Mytilus edulis: one gene and its partner. The protein of the gene in region 1 interacts with the protein of each later gene in a pairwise test. Links are inferred from orthologs where the notes say so. Each region holds a gene or a part of one and is shown on either strand. Other genes may lie near its edges. The genes, in order: ubiquitin-conjugating enzyme E2 variant 2-like and uncharacterized protein.

Region 1 (11,254 bases):
CGAGCGGTCGAAGAAGTCGAGTCACTGTATCACTAGCCTGTCAAAATTGGTTTTGATTTCGAATCCCGCTTGACTCCAATCTAAATTGATCAGGATTATCAGAATTCCTATGCCGAATATCGGTGGTTCTCTTGGCACTCGTGTTTCCTCCAGAAACAAAACAAAAAAGACAGCCACGAAATAGAACAATAGTTCTAAAAGTGGCGTCAAACAATAATCAATAAATTAATCATTTACAGAGAGTACGTCCTATTCTGTTTTTTTTCTTCACTGCAGCAATTGATTGTTTATCCCTTCACTTTTTTCATAGAGTATGTTGTAGGTATATTTCTTTCATAGAGTAAGTTGTAGGTATATTTCCATAGAGTAAGTTGTAGGTATATTTCCTTCATAGAGTAAGTTGTAGGTATATTTCCATAGAGTAAGTTGTAGGTATATTTTCTTCATATTTTAAATGTAGTTGATAGAATATTTAAAAACAGTTTTATGTGAAATCAAGGATTTGTATAGTATACTATACAAATCCTTGGTGAAATGGATAATAAAATTTTTGAAAGTAACACAATCAATAAAGTATTTAGATGTCTGATGAAAAATTGAAAGAAAGCATACAAGTGTGATGGGATTGCTTCCCTTAGAACATGTCGTAGATACTTAGGCAATTAAATATTGGGTAAGTGCAACGGCTACTGGATTTCATTACCCGCCATGATCACTCAATGTTCTTATAGTTGCGCAAATATTTATTAGGTTTAAAGATGTTACAAATTATTTAAATCTTTTAAAGATGCCCTATGCATTATTGTCCAATTGGTATATTTTCCATTTCGTATTAAAACATATTTATTCCTACTCCTGGAAATTCAAAGTTAAAACAAATTCAATGGTCATGCATGTTAAAAGAAACAAGTTAGACTGCACTGTAATTGTATATTCCTCCCCAATATGTTAATTGTCCAACTTTTAATTCTTGAATAAAATATAAATGTACTGATAGTACATAAATGCTATTTCAAATAAAGGGAGGGGAAGTACGCGACTTTTTTTATAACTTTAAAGAGGCCCCTCATGGGGGGGTCCTAGTAATCACATAATCACCATTTTTTTGCCAATATAATCACATAATCATTAAATATTTGCTTATCTTTAGTAATCAAATAATCATAAACTAAAAATACAGTCCTAGGTAATCAAATAATCATGAAATTTTTGGCTTAATAATCAAATAATCATTAAAAAAAACGGCCAAGTAATCACATAATCAAAAACCCCATGAGGGCCCTCTTTAAACTTCAGAAATCAGATGGTATTTAAATGATGGAAAATAACGCAAAACCCTACTTTTTTATAAACTTTTTTCTACCGTGTGGTGTTACATAAGTGTGAACAAGTTTAAGATGATTTTGCAGCTGCTAGATTTGGTTAGAATGTATACAAGAATAAACAACGTAAACAACCGATTTCAAGAAAACATATAATTGTTTATCCAGAGACTGTTTATCCTTATAAAAAGAAGTTGATTTCTGGAATAAAACTTTAATATATACATGTACAAGGCAACAAAAGAAATAATTACAAGGCAATGCATTTTGCATATAATGTAATTAGATTAGATGTATGTTTCATTATAATACACTATTCTGATTGGCTGACTGCAATCTCACATTATTCCTTAATCAACTTCATTACACAATAAAATTTATCATTCATGATGACACGAGGTCCCACAATAAAGTGCACATGTAAATAAAAAAAACTTGGTAAAAATCGTGTTTTCGTGATCCTAGCTAAAAAAAAAAGTAATTATAAGTATTAAATGCTTCTTTTTGTAACTACATTAGCGGTTGTAAAAGTGGTGCCCGTGCTAACATTTTTAAAATGATCTTCGGTCAACGCTTTTACATCCCAATGAAGTTACAAAAAGAAGCATTCAAATCTTAAAATAATAAAATTGGATACAGTGTACCAAAGCAAATAATTCACCAAATGTTCTAACTTTTACAGTGTTATTTTCTTCTCAAAACCATTGATTTAAGGCAAAAACGCGATTTTTTTTGGTTGTTATTTCAAAAATCGTATTTTTACCCCAAAAATTATAAAAATCGATATTAAAACTTAAAACTTTAAATTTTAAATATTGAATCACTTCGCAGGTATTGAATACTTAAATCTCATCTTTGAAATGAAGTGCCGACTTTTGGCATCATTTTCCGCAAAATAACTTTGGCCCGTCGGTGTTTAAAAACTCGGTAGATTCTAACTTTCCAATTTGGTCAGATTATTTTAGTCATATGTATTTGCCTTGATAATGAATGTTTTCTATTGGATAATTTAACAGATTTCCTTACCTATTATATGTTATGATATCTAGGATTACAAACGTGTGTATCGTTTCTTTTGTTGACATCGGTATTTTTATGAAAGTAGTTGTTTTCCTGTATGAAACTTGTAAAAGTAGTTGTTTCCCGGTTTAAACTTTTTAACCACAATAAGTATACAATAAGAATAACATCAAATAAAAGGGCTTTTGCATTTAGTGTAAGAAAATAATAGATAAAGACAATAGTAGTTTACTGCTGTATAATAGCCACACATCTATTTAATATCTAAAACAAATCTGGTCCACAAACCAAAACTGTGACATCAAATATAAGAGGAAAACAATGGAATAACAGAAACACTGAACTGCTACAAAAAACAAAGGCCAGCATACATTGCACATAGAAACGGACTATTTGATAACAACAACTGCCAAATTCCTGACTAGGTACAGGAAATTTTAAGAAATAGAATAGGACTTTGTATTCTAAGTTGCGGGCTAACAAGAACCATACAAACGTGGGATAAGCACTGTACATAGAGCTTTTTGCCGACAATAAAGACACATAAAACATACACATTAGACATACATAAGATATGCAATAGCAAAATGTTCCTATAAAAACATCTGCACAAACTAACAAAGCACTGAACTACTTTATAAGCACATGCACATCTATTTCTTCAAGCTGCATAGAATACTCCAAAAAATATCAAATCATCAAGATCTGCTGGAGCCCCATGCGCATGATCGAGTTGTCTTTCCAGTTTTTGATAATACTTTTAAACTGGTTCATGTTCGTCTGCGAACGGATCTCGCCAGGTAGCTTCTTTCAGAGTGAAACTCCAGTATGAAGCATGAATTAACGAAGACTAACATTTGTGTTCTCTCCTATAGTACTTCAACAGTGCAATGCATTACGTACATGAGGGACATGTACATCACCCCATGCCGCTGAAATTATATTCGTTTAAGAACAATTAAGCACAACTTACTTATAAAAACAAATACGACCATACATATACATAACAAATGTACATTTGAAAAACTAACAAAGGAAGACATGATTTGATGTCAATAAATGATTAACTTACCGATATTGGCTCTGTGTCTTAAAAAATAAAAAAAAATGGGGGACAAAGTAAATATGTTCTCTTTCAATAAATTGTATTTCTATGAAATTGACAATCCGGCGACACGTTTGAAAATCAAACGCTTCCAACTTATCATCCAAACCAGAAATATGTGTATATATCTCTCTGGTATTATTAGAAGACCATTACAACTATAATGACTGTTTGGTACAATTGATAAGTCGATCTTTTCGCACCTGAAGACTGCCGGCAAAACATATCGGCACCTAAAAAAAGAACTAAACCCTAAGCGAAACAGTGATATTTCACGATTAAACGACAGAATAGATTAATTATAACTATAGCGTACAATTTAACCCACTGATTATATTTCAGTTTTTTGCATATTTTTGTACGTTAAAGTTGAGATACAAAATTAAAGAAAAATAGTGGCAGGGTATTTATCCATCCCTCGTCAATAACAACAAAAAATCCGGACACTAAGTACATATCTGAGAGTACTTGGCTTGCAGTTACCGATATAGCTCCACAGTGTTTTAAAGCCCCAAAAAATCATGTACCTTAGACCAGAGACATATAGTACATCAATTGTATTATATGTCTCTGCTTAAACTAAATTGAGTTTAATATAAACACATTCTTTCCATTTAATTGTATTTAACGTGATTATTTATTTTTGACAGTAGTATTTTGAAACGTATATCATCTTAATTTTTCTTATTTTATTAAAAGTTTGTTTTATAAATATATTTTCATGTTTTAACCCCTGGACAAAGACACACTTATATCCAAAGTTTTTCTGGCACTGAAAAAAATAACCCCTGGACAAAGAAACTTTATTCTATTTTTAACAATCTAGGATTTTCAAACCTAGCTGGGGGAAACTTTTCTATTAAACAATATCTACCAAGTATTAAACAACGAGTGATTGATCAGTGCACACAGGATCAATCATCAAAAATTCATGATTCATCAAAACTAAAATTTTATCAACAATTTCATAATTCAAAGCAGCGTAGTTCTTATGTTGATGTTCTAAGTAATAGATTAGAAAGGTCATCTCTGTGTAAAATTAGATTGAGTGCACACAATCTTGCTATTGAAAGGGGCGATGTTTAGGTTTAGCCACTGACGAACGAGTTTGTAATGTATGTAAATCAGGTGAGGTAGAAGATGAAAATCACTTTTTACTGAAATGTAAAAAAAATTCAAACTATAGATTTAACTTTAAAAATAAGATATTAAATATACTTCCTACATGTTGTAGTGAAAATCAGCTAAATATTAATAGTTGTATTAATAGTAATTCTTTAAAAGTCCTGAAAGTGACTAGTTCTTATATATATAAATGTCTGATGTATAGAAACGAGATTTTAGTTTCTTAATTATAACATATTTAAATACTAGTAACTGTATGCTGTATTCATTGTTGTAATGCACTGTAATATGGGCCTTTGCCAATTATTGTAATTGTGTTTGTGCCAATAAAATATTTGTAAAATATTTGTATTTTGTATTTGTTTTAGAATTTTATTATGTAGGCTATACACGTCGATTTGTCATTCATTACCGGAAAGAACATTTTACACGTGTAATTTATTAAACGATAGAAAGCATTGGGAATCCAGGTTTGCAACAAAGGACAATAAAATACTCTTAAAGAAGACGGAACAATCGATTAGGAAAATCTCTTCACTATAAATCAATATGTCCAATACGGTTTTTACAAAGTATAAAACTGTCTAGGGGTCGATATAGTAACCAAACTTTTTTTGTACAATTTCAATTTTTGATAATGTAATTCATTCATTGGGGGGAGGGGCAAATTATCGGTTTAGGCCACAGGCACTCGTATCAGAACAGTGGCGGATCCAGGGGGGGGGGGGGGTTCCGGGGGTGCGCACCCCCCCTTTATTTTTGCCGATCAATGCATTTGAATCGGGACATATGTTTTGCACCCCCCCCTTTGCCCTGGGTGCCCTGGGTTAGCACCCCCCCCTTTCGAAAATTCCTGCATCCACCCCTGCAGAATCCCCCCCTTATATACCTGTTATATTAGGTATATGAGAAAAAAAATTCTGAGACAAGTGCCTGTGGTTTAGGCTGTGACATTTAAAAAAAAATTCTAGTGCATGCAGGTTTTGTCGACTTTTCTCCCAAACACAAATAAATTTCTCCCAAACACAAATAATATTTTACACCTGTGACGAATAGCACTCATCCGGATTCGCCCCATTCCTAACTCGGTTCTGATATTACATATAGCAACCATCATGGCGGGTTCCACAGATACAGGTCGAGATCAAAATATCTATTTTTCTAACAGTTTTGCAGAAATTTGTTTTAAAAAAACATGTCAAATGACTTCTATAACACACATCCTAATACTTGACATCTTGAACGAGAGCCCTCTATGTAAATCTTGTTCGTTAAACACTTTGGAATTTCACGCCGGTTTGGTGTCTCCCATTTTCACAACATCATGGTATTTCTTTCATAAAGAATTTAACCAAATTTTGATTTAAGGACACATTTTAAATGTTATTCTAATGATAAAAGGGATAGACTTCGTTTAAATACCCTTTTAACTCAATAAAAGATGCAGTGGTTACATAGTTTACACTAAGAATTTCCTGTTTTAGCCTTGTTAGTGATTCATGATCTTGTTTTTACTAGAGTATAACCAGATACACACAGCAAAATGATGCTGTGCTACCAACTCATTTAATTTCTTCCAAATCATGTTTTGGACCACATTCAAATCTTTTTTCAACAATATTTATGCTCATAATTTACATTTTTAATACAGTAGAGGGACAAACAGACCTTTGTCATGATTAAGATATTTTAGTGTGAATAATGGGATATGGCTTTTATTTTTGAAGGATTTCAGAATAAAACCTTATCAGGACTCGAGAATAAATGATTTTTTGTCAGGAATGTTGGATGACAACCCACTACCTTTCCTCACAGTAGAATCGCCTGTTTCGATATACATTTGTACAACAGTTGATATCATAAATTGCATTACCTAATTACTTCATATCCATAATGTTACTGTACATGGATATTATTTGTCTTGTGCCTGTTTAGTCAAAACAAGGGGTTCCCTAATTTGGAACACATCTGTCAAATTCTCAATATCAATCAGATATGGTGATCATGAAGTCACACCTACAGAATATTGCATGAACTAAATTACATGAACTGTAAAAGTACATTTATGACATCAATTTGCTCCCTTTTACCCAATTATTGTTTTTTTTTAGTTTGCCAAAGACTAGTCATTGTAAAGATCTTAGTTACTGTTACTGCTTATATTAAGTTTTGAATAGTGTTTCTTTTGCAACAGACATGGCAGTTGATTCCTGTACAATTTTCAGAAATAATGTTTTTGGTAGAAACTTTTGAATTTATTGATAAAAGTACCGTTAAATAAACATGATAAATATGTATCATATTTTTTTTGAGGCACCAGAAACCTCTAGGACAAAAAGAAGTAGCTGTAGCTTACGATTAAGACATGGATATTTAATCACATACACAATCTATGACAAACAAATGAATTATTTAAAAAACAACTTTTTTCATGATTGAATTATTCATTATCTTATGCATGTTACACATAAAACAAGGAGATGTGGTATGATTGACATTGAGAAAACTATCCATCAAAGTTGAAATGAAGTGCATGACATGTAAACAATTATACTATGAGTATGGCAACTGTATAGCCTTCAAAATGTTTAAATTCACAGTAGCTACATTTTATTCAAAAAGATAAACTATGTTAGGAATAATATCATTCAAGAAAAGGGGTGTTATGAAAAAATAGTAAAAACAACCATGAAAATTTGAATCAACCAATATTTGCCAGTATTGACCACTTGGGGAGTATTATTCGGGGCGGTAAATTCCGGTAAATACCAGGCGTGGTATTTACCGCCCAACCTTGGAAATAGCTTTTCTTCAATCAAACATTAAGCATGTTATTAATTTACAACAGGTAATCCATTTGATATCCCACATGTACACAATGTATACTAGCTAATGTAGGAAGAAAAAATACTATGATTATAATCTTGATTTCATTTACAAAACAAATGTATGTATTATGAAATTGAGAATGAAAACAGGGAATGTGTCTAAGAGACAACAACCAGGCCAAATAGCAGAAGGCCACCAATTCAAGGGTCTTCAACACAGTGAGAAAATCCTCTACTCTGAGGCGGGCTTCATGATCAGCTGCCTTTAAACAAAAATGTGTTAAAGTTCAATGAAAATGTATGATGGATTAAAACTATACTGATCCATGTTCAGTGGTGAAAAGATTTTGAAGAAATATTGATAAAAAATGTTAGGCTCTTGACTCAAAACTAGGGTCTACTATAAATATGTTTGCCACAAGGAATAAAATAAATCCATCAGTTTCTTTGTTCTCCCTAGAATTTAAAAAAGCACCATTGAAATTATCATAGCAGCACTGGTTTTCCAAAAACAATAACGTACCATGGCCCCAGGCTCTATACAATCTGTTATAAAATCCAAGATAGAACCATGGTAGAAAATATAGCATGCTGGGGGCAAACACTAATTCAATTTTTTGTCAAAAGGGTGAGTCTGAATTTCCATCACAAATTAATGACAAAATATTTTTAGACTTTATTTTTTTTATTGACAACCATTCAAAATATTACCTAGACAATCAAATCAATACATATTAGTGGAAGATACTTCATATAATCATTATCTTGTCTAATGAGATTTTAATATTGACTAATTGTTAATACCCTGTGTACAGTTAGTACCATTACTTCATACTTTGCTGGTAACAATGTAGACCCACGGCTAGTACAAAATGTACCATCAATGGAAAACATCACTGATACAATGTATTTATTAAAGCAGAACTGAAACTCTTCCTTGTTTGACATTTATTGTTAGCTTTACAAACTTTTAAGTAAGACTATAATCATTAACAAAGTACTGTAAATTCAGAAATTATTGTGTGTATTTATTATTGCGATTTTGTCAGTTTAGACTTAAATGCAATTTTAATTTTTACGATTTTGAAAAAAATCCTGTTTAACATGTTTAAATAATATTGCCTTTACAACTCTGTCACATTTTTCTCAATAATAAAAACGTCGCATTAATTTCAGAATTTACAGTACATGCAATTCTGAATTCAGTCTAATTATATAACATCACTCTGAATGGAGTTTGCATGAGTAACTGTGAAATATCTTTGCGATTGCCAATGAGACATTTATCAACTAGAATCAAATGATGTAGATGTTAACATATATGTGTTTATTGAATAATCTGTATATTAAAATAACAAGTCTAAAAGGGTATATATACAATAATATATATAAATATATATAATCATGAAATACATAGTTGAGTCCCCAGGTGTAAAGATGACAATACTAAGCAACTGATTACATTATTTTAATCCACTTCTCTAAAAATTGACAACTTCTCCAATTTCTCTGCATGAAGAGTCACATCTCCCTCTCCAAATATCCTAGATAAGAACCTGCATAGTTGTATATTCATAGACAAAGTCTGCGTTTCCACCATAAATCACTAAACAGTCACAGTTACAGTTGATGGGGTTCGTGTTGTTTATTCTTTAGTTTTCTATGTTGTGTCGTGTGTGCTGTTGTTTGTTTGTCTTTTTCATTTTTATCCATGGCGTTTGTTTTAGATTTATGAGTTTGACTGTCCCTTTGGTATCTTTCGTCCCTCTTTAACACATTTTCACAACTTTGTTATACATGTATATACATGTACATGTATGTCAGTCCTCCATAAACTTAATTTTTATGTTTTATGTTGCAGTGAAAGTACCAAGAAATTTTAAATTATTAGATGAGTTGGAGACTGGACAGAAGGGTGTTAGTGACGGCACAATAAGCTGGGGTTTAGAAAATGATGATGATAATACATTAACACACTGGACAGGAACAATTATAGGACCACCAAGGGTAAGATAGGAAAAACTACTGGCATGTGTTTATACCTTTTAGGAAATGTTCATTGTCAACACTCAACACCTGCCCAATTTAAGTAACTCCTGCAGACATTCATCTAGTACAAGTCTGCATTATCTGTAATACTACATATAAATATACCAGTTAAAAAAGTAATACAGGCATACACATCTGAAAATGTCAATTATTAGTGAGTTGAAATCATAGTTTTAGTATAATTACATGTGTATTAACTGATGTTTCACAATGAAAATGTATCTTTAAATAATGCCAGAACAATACATTTGAATGAGGACTGTAGTGGGTATTTTGCACAGAAACATTACTGAAATGTTGAAACAGAAATTTTCAATTTAAAAAAAAGAGTTTTCTAATGTAGGGTCCATTCTTGATAATTCTTTAGTTTTATTACAACTCAACATTTCACATTTTTCAGTTTTCAAATATTATATTACTTATATTGCAATGACCTTGTTCATTCAACAAAAATATATCAGCCACACCATTCTCAGGAATGCCTTCAGAAATAGTGTGCAGCTTGACAATGATTACTACATATGATGTTGTAACATGTGAATTTTGAATTGATCAGCAACTTACTTCCTGTTTCCTATTGGTTGAATAAAAACAAATATTTTTGTCACACTTTTCTGAGGGACTTCTTAACAGAAGGTCATAAGTTATGAAGAGTTTATGCTTTCCAGATCCGTCGGGCAACTACGAAATTCCAATATTTTGAATTGCTTATCAGGGTTATATATGCTTAGCATGACAAACCATGCATTCTTGTTTAGTTATGAGTACCACTGATTAGACATCATTTGTTCTATTCAGTGAACTTGGTATCTTTATATTACTTGTATTACACTGTTATTTGATATGTATTTTATATTTTTCAGACACCTTTTGAAAGTAAAATCTATACATTAAAACTAACCTGTGGTGAATACTATCCAGACAAACCTCCAATAGCTAGATTTGTATCCAAGTTAAAAATGACGTGTGTACTTGATTCTGGCCCTCAGACAGGTTTGGTAAGTTTATTAATCAGTGAAACAAGGAATATGAATTTTGTACAAAAAATGTACCTATAGAAAAAAAAAACTCACAATTCATATGACATATTTGTATCTGTAAAGTAGAATTCACATTAAATAAAAGGTATAGGATAAACATCATTGAAATCATACTGAATATCATAAAATAAAATGTATAGGATAAACATCATTGAAATCATACTGAATATCATAAAATAAAATGTATAGGATAAACATCATTGAAATCATACTGAATATCATAAAATAAAATGTATAGGATAAACATCATTGAAATCATACTGAATATCATAAAATAAAATGTATAGGATAAACATCATTGAAATCATACTGAATATCATAAAATAAAAGGTATAGGATAAACATCATTGAAAGCATACTGAATATCATAAAATAAAATGTATAGGATAAACATCATTGAAATCATACTGAATATCATAAAATAAAAGGTATAGGATAAACATCATTGAAATCATACTGAATATCATAAAATAAAAGGTATAGGATAAACATCATTGAAATCATACTGAATATCATAAAATAAAATGTATAGGATAAACATCATTGAAATCATACTGAATATCATAAAATAAAATGTATAGGATAAACATCATTGAAATCATACTGAATATCATAAAATAAAATGTATAGGATAAACATCATTGAAATCATACTGAATATCATAAAATAAAAAGAATAGGATAAACATCATTGAAAGCATACTGAATATCATAAAATAAAAGGTATAGGATAAACATTATTGAAAGCATACTGAATATCATAAAA
Region 2 (12,024 bases), on another chromosome or scaffold:
GTTTACATATAGTTATTACAAAAACGAAAACAATTTATTATGACAACACTAAATAATACAGTAACTGTCAAAAATACTTTGCAGAAACACACGATTTTGTTCAATGCCGATGTATGTACATTGTACATCTATGTACATAAAATAATTCAGAATTGAAAATAGTATTACTTTTTTTAGATGTGAGTATCAACTACACAGGCAAAATTTGTTCACATGAATTTCACATGAATCTCACATGAAATTCACATGAAAATTTCACGTGAAATTCACCTCAATCGAGCTGATACATGAAACTCACGTGAAAATTTTCATGTGAACATGAATTGAGATTCACATGAATCTGATGTGAAATTTTGCACATAAATTTCACGTGAAATTTACAACAATAAAATTTGATGTTTTTCATGATTTTAACTCAATTTGTGAATTTCACATTAAATTTTTTACGTCACGGTGACTTTTAATATGTGAAATTCACATGAGTTTCAAATTAGATTCACATGAAACTCACAAAAACTTATTTCACGTGAGTTTCACGTATAAGCTCGTTTGAGGTGAAATTCACGTGAATTTCACGTGTGAGACTCACATGAATTTAAATTCACGTGAAATTGATGTGAGTGAAATTTGCCTGTGTACCTGCGTCAAAAACGCAGCTTGTGCGTAACACTTATGGAACATATTTACTTGCAATCTATATCAAGTTTTTTAATTATTAAAAAATAACACACATACTAAACAAAAAAATATATAAAGATATCTTTGTTTTACTTACAGCTTGCGAACTGTCCTGGATATGTGGGCTTAATTATTGGTTAGAAAGTGAAGAAAATTCTAGGGAAAAGAAAAATGGCGGAAGCCGCATATTTCTATCTACAATGGTTTAAGGAATTACCAAAATATTAATCAGAAATTATAGAACAGTCAGTTTAAGGACAGTACGTCGTCTATAGACATGTAATAATAAAGACTGTCCCTGATTTAAGTATAGAAGGTGATGAGCCATATTGACTTCAACGCTTTGTTTTTATATGCTTAGAATAAACTTAATATTAACCTATTATGTTTTCATTGCCTCTGTATTGCCATTGCGTGACTTATTTGAGAGTTTCAAAAACAAAAAGGGCAACCCTAGGTATAACATTGCCCACTCTAACATTTTTTACCATATCAAGTTACTGAAAATTGAATATCTATATATAATGGTCTAAATATAATTATGTCTGTTTTGTTCACGCATCGTTGTAAATATAACGGAATTTGATGAGACTGTCGTACAAGTGAGAGGTTTAGCGCTATAAAACCAGGTTCAATCCACCATTTTCTACATTTAAAAATGCCTGTACCAAGTCAGGAGTATGACATTTGTTGCCCATGCGTTTGATGTGTTTTTGTCATTTGATTTTGCTATGTGATTTATAGGGACTTTCCGATTAAATTTTCTTCGGAGTTAGGTATTTTTGTGATTTTACTTTTTAAAATGAAGATGTTTGTTCGGAATTTTCCCCCGCTTCTTCTTTCATTAATTGAGGTTTTACCTCATTTTTTATTTATGCAATTATGAAAAGGTTTCTGTAATAAGTTCAAAATATGATGTAATGTAATAAAACATTGAATTGAATTGAATTGTAATGTACTTTGTTAACTCATCTAAAAAAAATTAATATGCATAGAGGAATGTTATACATGTAAGTATTAAATTCACAACGATGAACCGAATGCGAGTGTAAAATTATAATCATTGAAAAAGACAGACGACAGCAATGGAGTGATAAAAAGTCATCAATGGGATGATACAATACATATAACTCGAAGAAAAACAGAAAATACCATGACAGTGGTAAACAAGAACAACGACGGAAAGACAAAGTGAAAGTCTTCAAAATACGGAAATTGAATAACTTCATGAGCGAAAGAAACTCCACCAAAATACAACGGGGTTGCTAATAGGTTCTTCAGAAGGATATTAAACCGCCGTGTTGGACCAAATGCACGTGCCTCAGAATTTTTTTTCTGGAGTATATCATTGGTCATTTGTGAAAAACACATCTGAATAATAATAGCGTACATATATAACAATTACATACGCTGCAGCTGTATAGTTATAGCCATATCAAAAACACATCTGAATGGGTATGTTCGTCACGAACGATGCCGGAACACGGAATTGTTCGGTTTCCTAATAGACCGATTCTTCACTTGACCTTTGCAACACGACGGTTACTACTGCTAAAATCTGAACCAAAATCAGTTTGTTCATCGGTCTTTTTTTCATGATATAAATAGAGATGTAGTATGATTGCCAATGAGACAACTCTTCACAAGAGACCAAATGACACAGAAATTAACAACTGCGTGTATATAGGTCGCCGTACGACCTTCATCAATGAGCATAGCCTGCATAGTCATATATAACAGGCCCCGAAAAGTCAAATGTGACAAAATTAACGGTCTAATCAATGTACAATATAATAAACCAAAAACAAAAATGTTATACACTAACATACGACAACCACTGAATCACAGGCTCTTGACTTTGAATGTCCCTCTGGTATATTTAGCCTCTCTCTTATCTATCTTGTACATCAATTTATCGACATTTTCAATATAATGATTCTCTATTATAATAGTTGAAAACTACCACTTCTGATTTATCTCCATTTACTTCAAATTTACGAAGCACATTCAATTTGTCACTATCTGGATCGGGATAGTTTTACCCTTTCAGAACGTATGTGATCACCCCATGTTTTTGTGTTCGAATTGCTTGGTCATTAGTTTCTATGTTGTGTTTTGTAGATTGTTGTTTTTCTTTCTTTTTTTTTTCTTTTTTTTTGTCGCCGAGTTGTGAGGTTTTTTTTTTTCCTTTACAATTTTGAATCAATATTATATGAGTATCGTCAAAATAAAAAATTCAACATTACTAAATTTTATTGGAAAAGGATTTTCGAATGTGAAAATCTTTAATCAAATCATTAATGAATGTATAAAAAAAAACAAAGAAGAAGAACGTCTTCCTGTTTCACCCCAGAACTAGTTAATTAAGTCACCTTTTCGTATTTAATTATGTATTGACTTCCCAAGATGTGTTTATAGGGTACATATAGAAAAAATTACATGGATACAATTTAGAATTCTAATATCGCGTCCTTATTACGCTTTGTAAATAAAGCCGTGTTCTAATGAGCACAAAATATGTTTGACACATGCGCACGAATTTACTGTTTATATTAACGTTATTTCAATCGTTATCCATTAAAATATATACATTTAAGCAGCTAACGTTATTTCAATCGTTATCCATTAAAATATATACATTTAAGCAGCTAACATTAACTTTTATTGTATATTTTCATTAAACAACATATATTTTCACCGCACGTAGTTTTTAAAAACTTATCAAATTTGAAATGTAATGTACAGACTCCTCGGGGAGGAAACGGGAATAGCCAAAGATTTTTACGGTATTTTCGTACGCTTCAACTTATAAAAATACAGTATTGGTCCTATTAGAATCGAAATAATTCCTTCATGTCATGCTCTATGCTCATTTAAACATGGGTAGGCATGTAGGCTAACGCTCAGTGTAAAATATCGACAAATATAATGCCTACCCATGTTAAAATGAGCATAGAGCATGACATGAAGGAATTATTTCTTAAGGAGTAATTTTGCTATAGAATGGAAAAATGCTGCATAACTTTTCTGTTTTAACAAGGATTTTTATAGTAAGATTCTTATTATACAAATCCTTGGTCATGTTGGTTTCATTCTTTAGAATTATCACTAAGTTTTTTAAGTGTAAAACTATGGTCGGATGTTCTAATTGTGGATAAACTAAAAAGTAGCTGTAGATTCTACATCAATTATTTTCAACTTTACCGTTGGACTTTGTAAAAAATACGGAAAGTCGGAACAAAAGTTATATCTCGAAGAATTTATAAGCCTGGTATCTTGGATGATTTTGCTTAATTGACTATTTTCAATCAGGCTCATCCGACCACAGAACATAAAAAATAAATAACAATTGATGACGAGATTAAGAAGTGTGTTTCCATTCTCAACGGAACTATCACCAACGTTCGCAAGGTATGAGATATATTCTAACCTAAAATATGTCCGTCAAATATATTATAAACAATAGTTCAGAGTATTCATTCACGACGAAAATACACATTTTAAAGCAATCGGTCATTAGAGTGATCAGTAGTATGATAATTTGTATAAGAAAACAAAACTTCACCGGTAAATATTACAATAATATTGCATATTACATATGTGATAAGGTAGAGGCAGGGGTGTCCCCTTTATTTTTACTATATAAAGCTAGCTTAAGTGATCCTGTCCAGTTTTTATTTGTTTTTTATTTACATTTATATTCCAATCCGTAAACTTTGGATTTTTTAGCTTTCCATTGTATAAAGCACCCTATATTTTTCCGACGTAGTCGCTATAGTTTCGGTTTGTGCCCTTTGAACTTAAGGACGCTTAACTATGGCAACAGAATACGCATGCTCGAAAATCCTTTCTGTGATTGAACAAAATGCTGTCATGGTTTTTTGATTTGGTTGTGTTTGAAAAAACGTCTCGTTAATTATATCGTGATGGAAAGCAAGTGAAAAACTATCATATTTGAACTAGATCTTACAAAGATTTATATTTTCATTGAAATAATTGTTTCTCCAATAGCTCTTTGCATCCGTGACAGATGTGTATTGGGAACAATTATATAATTTTTAATTTAAACTTTGTTGTAACATAAATTCGATTTTTTCCTTTGATGTTTTTATGAAATAATTTGCTTAAAAAGTGGGGTGAGGGAAAACCATGGTATATTATATGCAAATTTATGTTGTACCATACTTTGCTAATTAAATATGCAACTCGACTATAATCCAAAGGAAAAAAGGCGGAGCTTCAGCCATGGTATAACATATTCATTTTCATGTTATTCCATAGCTGAAGCTCCACCTTTTTTTTTTAAATGTATCCGCCTCTAAAATATTTAGGAAACTGTAAAACGTACTAAAAGGTCAAGATCTTCATTTGTTTTCATTTTATAAGAAAAAGCACAAACTATATAGGATTATTACGAATTCCCTTAATTTTGGAAACAATTACTAAATGTTTCTTCTTTCAGTTTTGAAAAAAAAATAAAATGTAAAACTATCATTTCCTTTGCGAAAATTCAATTAAATTTCGATTTAAAAAGGGGGGTACCTATACAAAAAGGAATAAATATCGGCTACAAATATCTGTGAAAAAACATGATTAGGGGACGTACACTATCTACGCCCCTGGATTCGCCACTGTTAAAATATTGTTTTAGTCATTAAAATTGTGTTTTAATAAATAATCTAATAAAATAACGGAAGAAAAGCATTTTTCAATTAGATGAAAATTCTGTAAAATATGATTAATTTGTATGATACATTGAAAACAAAACAAAAAACCAATTCTTACCGTCATTAGAATAATTATTTAATCCTTGTCGCTGGAATCCGACATTTTTGTTTACCTCAGTCTGATGACATTATGAAATTACCTGCGCCTACAATCATACACGGGGCGCAAAACTAAAAAGAAAATCGGGAAAATCCGACATTTTCTTTACTTTCTGCAAATTCAGGGGATCTATTACATGAAATACACAGACGAGACAAAAGTGACTTGCGCTAGCTTCCATTTCATTGGATAAAACTGTAACGTGATCAATTTGCAATATTAGTTGAAGGTCTTGAAGCTGTCAATCATTTTATTTATATTACAAATTTTATATACCATGTGTCTTACTCATTAACATATTTAAACAAACTCATCCTTCGGATTCGTTTGTTTAAATATGTTAACTCGTAAAAACCATGGTATATATAGTACTTGTACGAACGTACATGACTTTTAGAACGCAGCTACGCATGTGAGATTTCCGCCGGGTTTTGGTGAATTTAAGGATGTACTTAGGTGAGGTTTTGGAATATGTGTCAAATGTTCAGACTCCTTGGTGTTTTTCCATACAATACAATGAAAAATATTTTGCCCCATAACACCCATTTATTTTTTCATATAAGACTTAATAGCTCATGAAAGGTTATTTACCAAAATTTTAAAAGATTCTTGATTTTCTTTCTTTTGTTTTGAGACCCAAATAATACCAATGCAAATATAAGGTAAAAGTCTGAGTCAGCCTTTTCCCGCCATATTTTAAATCTCAAATATCTCGAAAAGGAGGTCCATGACCTATTAATATTTTTAGGTTATCTTTATCGTTAATTGATGCTCTACCAGCTTATAGTATCAATTTTAATTTCTTAATTTCTTAATTTTTACCTAATCTCACCTAAGTACATCCTTAAACAGAAAGATACGAGGACCGAGAATACTGAACACAAACAGAGAAAACGTTATTTAAATGGTATCTTTGTGCTTCTGAAGGTTATCGAAATAACAGTTTTAAACATATACTCAAATTTAAATACGTCGGATATCTTTTTTAAAGATAGTTCTTGTTAGTTTTAGTTGTGTACAGTAAATCTTAAAAATAAATATTACTATACAAATCCTTGATAAGGCCTAGATACTTTTACCTTTTAATTGCGTAAATTATTTTATCAGTCCTTAAATATTTTAGATTTTATCCGTGTACAGCGAATCTAAATTTTTTATGTTATTTGTTGAAAACTTTTAGTGCACACAATATAAGTTTTAATTAACTCCCGTCTGCATAATATCCGTTGCGGAGGTGTTCCATAATTGGAAGTATCTACATGTAGAAGAAGAAGAAGAAGAAGAAGAGGAAGATTGCAAGACGGTCACTGGACGCGGACCTCACCGAAAACACCCTTCCAAACGCGGACCTCCACGAAATCTCCCAACTAATTTGCAATAAACTATACATTATTAAAAAATGTAGAACAGACTATACTTGCTTAGAACGCCATCTGTTGTCAATGAAACTGTAGACACGTGATACCGGCGAAATTTGTTCAACTTCCTTTTTCACTTTTCTGCCACATGGTTGCTACCCTCTTAGCCATTTTCTCACAATTTTCATCAGAAATGGCTGCCAACAACGAAAGATCTTTCATCATGGTTAAACCTGATGGTGTTCAAAGAGGGTTAACTGGCGAAATCATCAAAAGATTTAACAATAGAGGCTATAAACTGGTTGCATGTAAATTAGTTCAGGTGATATATTTTCCCAAAATGTCAAATGCATTAATTATAAAAAAAATATATTGTGTAGAGGTGAGTTCAATGTCAGCTCTCAGACTACATGAACACACTAACATATTACAGTTTAACTGTTTAATCCGTGGGATGACAAATACATCTATAAATATTTCTATTCAAGACAACTTGAAGGAATCGGCTTGAAGCCTTTCTGCGCAGGGTTCAAAGCCAAAAAATATAAATATAGCCTTACAACTCTTGAAATTCAAGACATAATTATTTAGAATAAGTTCAATTATTCAGGTGTAATGATAAGTCGTTATCCTAAGGCTAATTTTTTCTTATTTTTCTGTACACTTAGCTTTCATTTTTTATTACCATGCATTGTCAAGCTTGGTAACTCATAATTATTTGTCAGTAACTAAATGTACGATGCTGTCCCATACTGAACCTTCTGACCTTGTTTGTTTACATTTAAATTTCAATGGCGTCAAAATCACGTGATGTCAATTCGTTCTACCCAATCAAATTGCTCTACTGTCAATTAGGGGATTTTCCAGTCTACGGCAATTACGTTATTTCTTTGTGGGATATTGCTTCAAAATAGTTTGCAATAATTTTGGGTTTTATTCAACAGGAAAACTCTTTTTAGCCATCCCTTTTGACATCAGTGGAATTCTGTATGAATATTTATCTATAGTCATGATGGTCAGAATATCGATCTTTTTATAATGAATAAAAAGAAAATTCTATGAAAAATAAATGTTAATTATTTTTCATTAACCTACTCTATATTCCCGTACAAAATTATGGCATGGGCATCGTTTTTTTCAATTAGTTTTCCTTTTATTTGGTTGGGTTTTTTTCGCGGGAAAATCGCGAAAGACGTAAGGAGCATGTCATTTTAAAATTCCTAAAAATACGATTTGCTTGACCTGTATTGCCTGCCACAAGATTGATGACGCTGAATGGAATGTACACAAAGCAATGGAGGCCGGAAGTGGGATTTTGTGAAGTTCTAGAATGCTTTTAGACATTCGGAAGTCGGGATTGAAACGGGCATTAGAAATTTGGCATTTTTTAGCAATAATTGAGAACAACAATGAAAACTTACCTTCAGAAATGTTTTTTTATTCAAAAGTGCAGAAAAAACGTATTTTACATTGTTTTTCTACGCCGGAAGTAGCGTAGTGACGTCAATGCGGAGTTTCCCGGTGTGTTAAGTTCAAACACAAATACCTAACGAACTGACAAGATGAACGATTTTAGACTACGGTAGGATACCTAGTCCAAATAATTATGTCCCTCTTGAAAGGTTGTTTAGATTTTAATTCCCCTTGTCAGTGTCCGTACCAGTGGCTGATCCAGAGGTGGCGTAGAGGGCGCAAGCTGGCCCTTAGCTGGGAAACCGTAGCTCTTGGGTGATTATGCTATTTTACTATTTGCAGACCATAGAGCTACGGATTTTCCTTTTTCAAAATGGTTCAGGTCGCACTTATTTAACAGTTTAAAATAATTAATTTGTTTAATACCCTAAAAATATGTTTACCATCAATGCAAAGCTTGTCAATTTATATAGTTCGTTTCTTTAGAAATTGTTTTCCGTGACGTCACACGAGATTCAATATGGCTGAACAAAATAGGCGGAGAATGTATACAAATGGGAATAATTATATAATCAGTGATATTGTTTGCCTCAAATTACAGCCGAAATTCGGCCTTTTCCCCTAGAGAAAATTCCCAATTACTTAAAAAAATGGCTTAAAATTCCTCCCAAAAAGTTTAACATTTTCCCCAAACAGTGATGGCATTGGAAGTAATGTTTGTAAATATCGTATTCATGTTATTATTTTGATATTAGAAAGCACTTTTGAGATCCGGTTTTCTGATCAGAATCATCATGGTGTTTGTAACACATGTAGTTTTCAATGCATTAAGTATCATCATTGCTTCTGTTTCTTTCTCTCTCCGAAAAGTACCTTCCAGATTGAAAATGTCTGACAACCAAAATATACATGAAAAAAAACAGTGTAAAAAGACAGCAAAGCCATGAAATCATCAGTGATGGATTTAGAATAAAATATACAAATTTCCCAATTTCAATACAATTTATGCATTTTTCCCAATAAAAAACAGTAGAGGTAGTTTTGAAAAAAAACAACAATATCACTGATAATAGTGTTTAGGAAATGAATATTCAATCATAATTCGGTACGTTATATCCAAGAAAAATATCTAATGAAACGAACTATATAAATTGACAAGCTTTGCATTGACAGTAAACAATATCTTTTTGGGAAACAAGTGTGGCCTGAACCTGGGTCACAATTCCTAACGTTTTGAAATACACTGGGGTAAAGCTGATGACCGTAACTGCATTCACGGTCATCCCAAGATGTCGGATGAAAAATTAGGTCAGTTTCTGTATTGTCTGTTAAAGTGTTTCTATATCATTTTCTTTACAAATCATACATTGATACGATGTAAATTTATAAAAGAATCACTCGAAAATCACTAATTACTTCCGAGAAATGTGCATGAAACAGGAAATTCGATTTGAAAAAATCGTTAAGATGACCGTAAATCATAATCAAAATATTTTCAAGATGACCGTAACATAAAACAAGGATGACCGTGATTGGTAAAAAGATGACCGTAACTTGTAAAGGATGACCGTAATTTGTAAAGACTGACTGTAATTTATATAGGACGACCGTAACTTTTATAGGATGACCATCAATTCTAAGAAATATCCGTATTGTATTCAAAGCTTTTTTGTTGAGTTTTCGATCTCAATAGGGGCTCGGTTAGCGAATATAAATATGTTTCATAAATTTCTTTTTTTAAACTATAATATAATTGGCCATATTTAGGATTTATAACAATGATAGTAAATTGCATATTTCTTGTAAACAATGAAATATTTATTGATATCGACGTTAAAATTTTAACACAAATTTACAGCGATACGACGAAAATTTGAAGAAACATGAATGTGTCCCTAGTACACTGATGCCTCATCTACACTATCATTTTCTATGTTTAGTGGACTATGAAAATGGGACAAAACTGTAATTTGGCATTAGAATTAAAAAGATCATTCCATAGGGAAAATGTGTACAAAGTTTCAATTTTATTTAACTTGAAGCTGGACAAACGGACAAACAAACAGACGAACGGACGAATGTACGCACAGACCAGAAAAACATAATGCCAATAAATGGAGCATCAAAAACATTAATAATACATACGAATATTTGGTAATCGAGCCCATGTGGATGGGTCCAGAGGAAGCAGATTAAAATCTTAATTTGTCTTGATATATGCAGGCGGAAACACCTTTGAAATAGAACAAAAGAATCGAAGCTCTGTGTTTATCGAGAAAGCGTAATGTTTGATATAGTAACAAAATTTTAAAAAGTTAATAGAAACAAATAAAACGACAATTTTCTTATTTTAAAAACACCATTTGCATAAGTTTTCAATGTATCTATTACATAGTAATGCAAAATAATAAGATATCAAGTCGACGACATGGTTCTTATCGGGGCCTTATATAGCTGACTATGCGGTATGGGCCTTTGCTCATTGTTGAAGGCCTTACGGTTACCTATAGTTGTTAATGTTTGTGTCATTTTGGTCTTTTCTGGATAGCTGTTTCATTGGCAATAATACCACATCTTCTTTTTTATATATAGTATCTATAAGTTGGATGTAGAAAATGCATAACCTCCGATTTTTTTTTTATCACGGACGGAGAACATATCAATCTTTTAGTTCAGAAATTTTCGTGTCTGCCCTTCCATTATGTGAATCAAGAAAAAATTACCCAAAACAGGTAATGATTGTAACGAAAAGAGAAAAATCAAGTGCACCTTTTTATGTTAGGGCATGTTTGGGGTGTATATTTTGTCTTTAAAACGTACAAAACAAGAGTATTTTATATAGCATCTCGCTTCAGATTCTATCATTATTATATATCAAAGCTACAGGTTGACTTTATAACGTAAAAAAATGACAGTACGAAAAGATGAAATATATGGTTTTATTGAGATACAATGTACCTATCTAATGAATCACAAAAACAGAGTAGGTGTGTTCGAATAGCTATTTTTTCTAAAAGTACTTGACGACAGTCTTTTAGTTTGGATGATGAAAATGTGTGTGTGATAACTAGGGTTTATAATCTTCAACCACTGAAAATGTTTAGTCTGCCCTTCCACGAAATATTTAATTAGAATTTTTTTAAATGCTTAAGAATTTTCAAAAATTCCATCTGACATCCAAACAGACAATATTTTTAAGTTGAATCAATGCAGACAAGATCATTAACTAATGCTCATTAGCTAGTAGATACATTTGTATTTTAAAATATAACTGACATATAACGATCGATCGTAATGGTGCTATGTGGATAAATTTATCAGTTTTCAAGAGCAAAATTGGCAGAGCGTCATCCCTACAATGGCTTCCATTTCTACGACTGTGAGCATGAACTGGCGTAATGGGGAGATAATTTTGAAGAAGTAGAATCCCGACTGTATGAATAACATTTCTGTATATATACAAATTGACAACGTTCCGCCTTGTGATACGCTTTTCGTACAATACTATTTTAAGGATCTACTTTGCTGGAGCTCACCTTCACTAGTTTATTCGAATGATATTTTCAAAATATTTCTGTTATTTTATTTGCACGACAAAATGAAAGACGATATAATATCAATGGGTGTACATGCAATTTTTTGGCATTTTTAAAAATGTGTATTTATTATATGTCATTAAAAGGAATCCCAGAAACAAAAAAAATCTTTTGTCGAGCAGTTGAAGGCTGTGCACCGCATGTCTTTTGGC

What was found.
Region 2: the proteins of ubiquitin-conjugating enzyme E2 variant 2-like (region 1) and uncharacterized protein interact in a two-hybrid assay, tested with the Caenorhabditis elegans proteins (2 studies listed by BioGRID). The link is inferred for Mytilus edulis from reciprocal best matches to the Caenorhabditis elegans genes uev-1 and ndk-1.

Annotation. Positions count from the first base shown.
Region 1 is NC_092348.1:73,765,282-73,776,535, reverse strand, and holds the start of ubiquitin-conjugating enzyme E2 variant 2-like, read left to right. Parts: upstream 1-5,602; 5' UTR 5,603-5,687; coding exon 5,688-5,709; intron 5,710-9,261; coding exon 9,262-9,407; intron 9,408-10,312; coding exon 10,313-10,447; intron 10,448-11,254. UniProt on the Caenorhabditis elegans protein: Involved in protein ubiquitination, but has no ubiquitin ligase activity on its own. The uev-1-ubc-13 heterodimer catalyzes the synthesis of non-canonical poly-ubiquitin chains that are linked through Lys-63.
Region 2 is NC_092351.1:1,684,551-1,696,574, reverse strand, and holds the start of uncharacterized protein, read left to right. Parts: upstream 1-6,936; 5' UTR 6,937-7,011; coding exon 7,012-7,185; intron 7,186-12,024. Other genes in the region: alcohol dehydrogenase class-3-like, read left to right, coding at 778-808.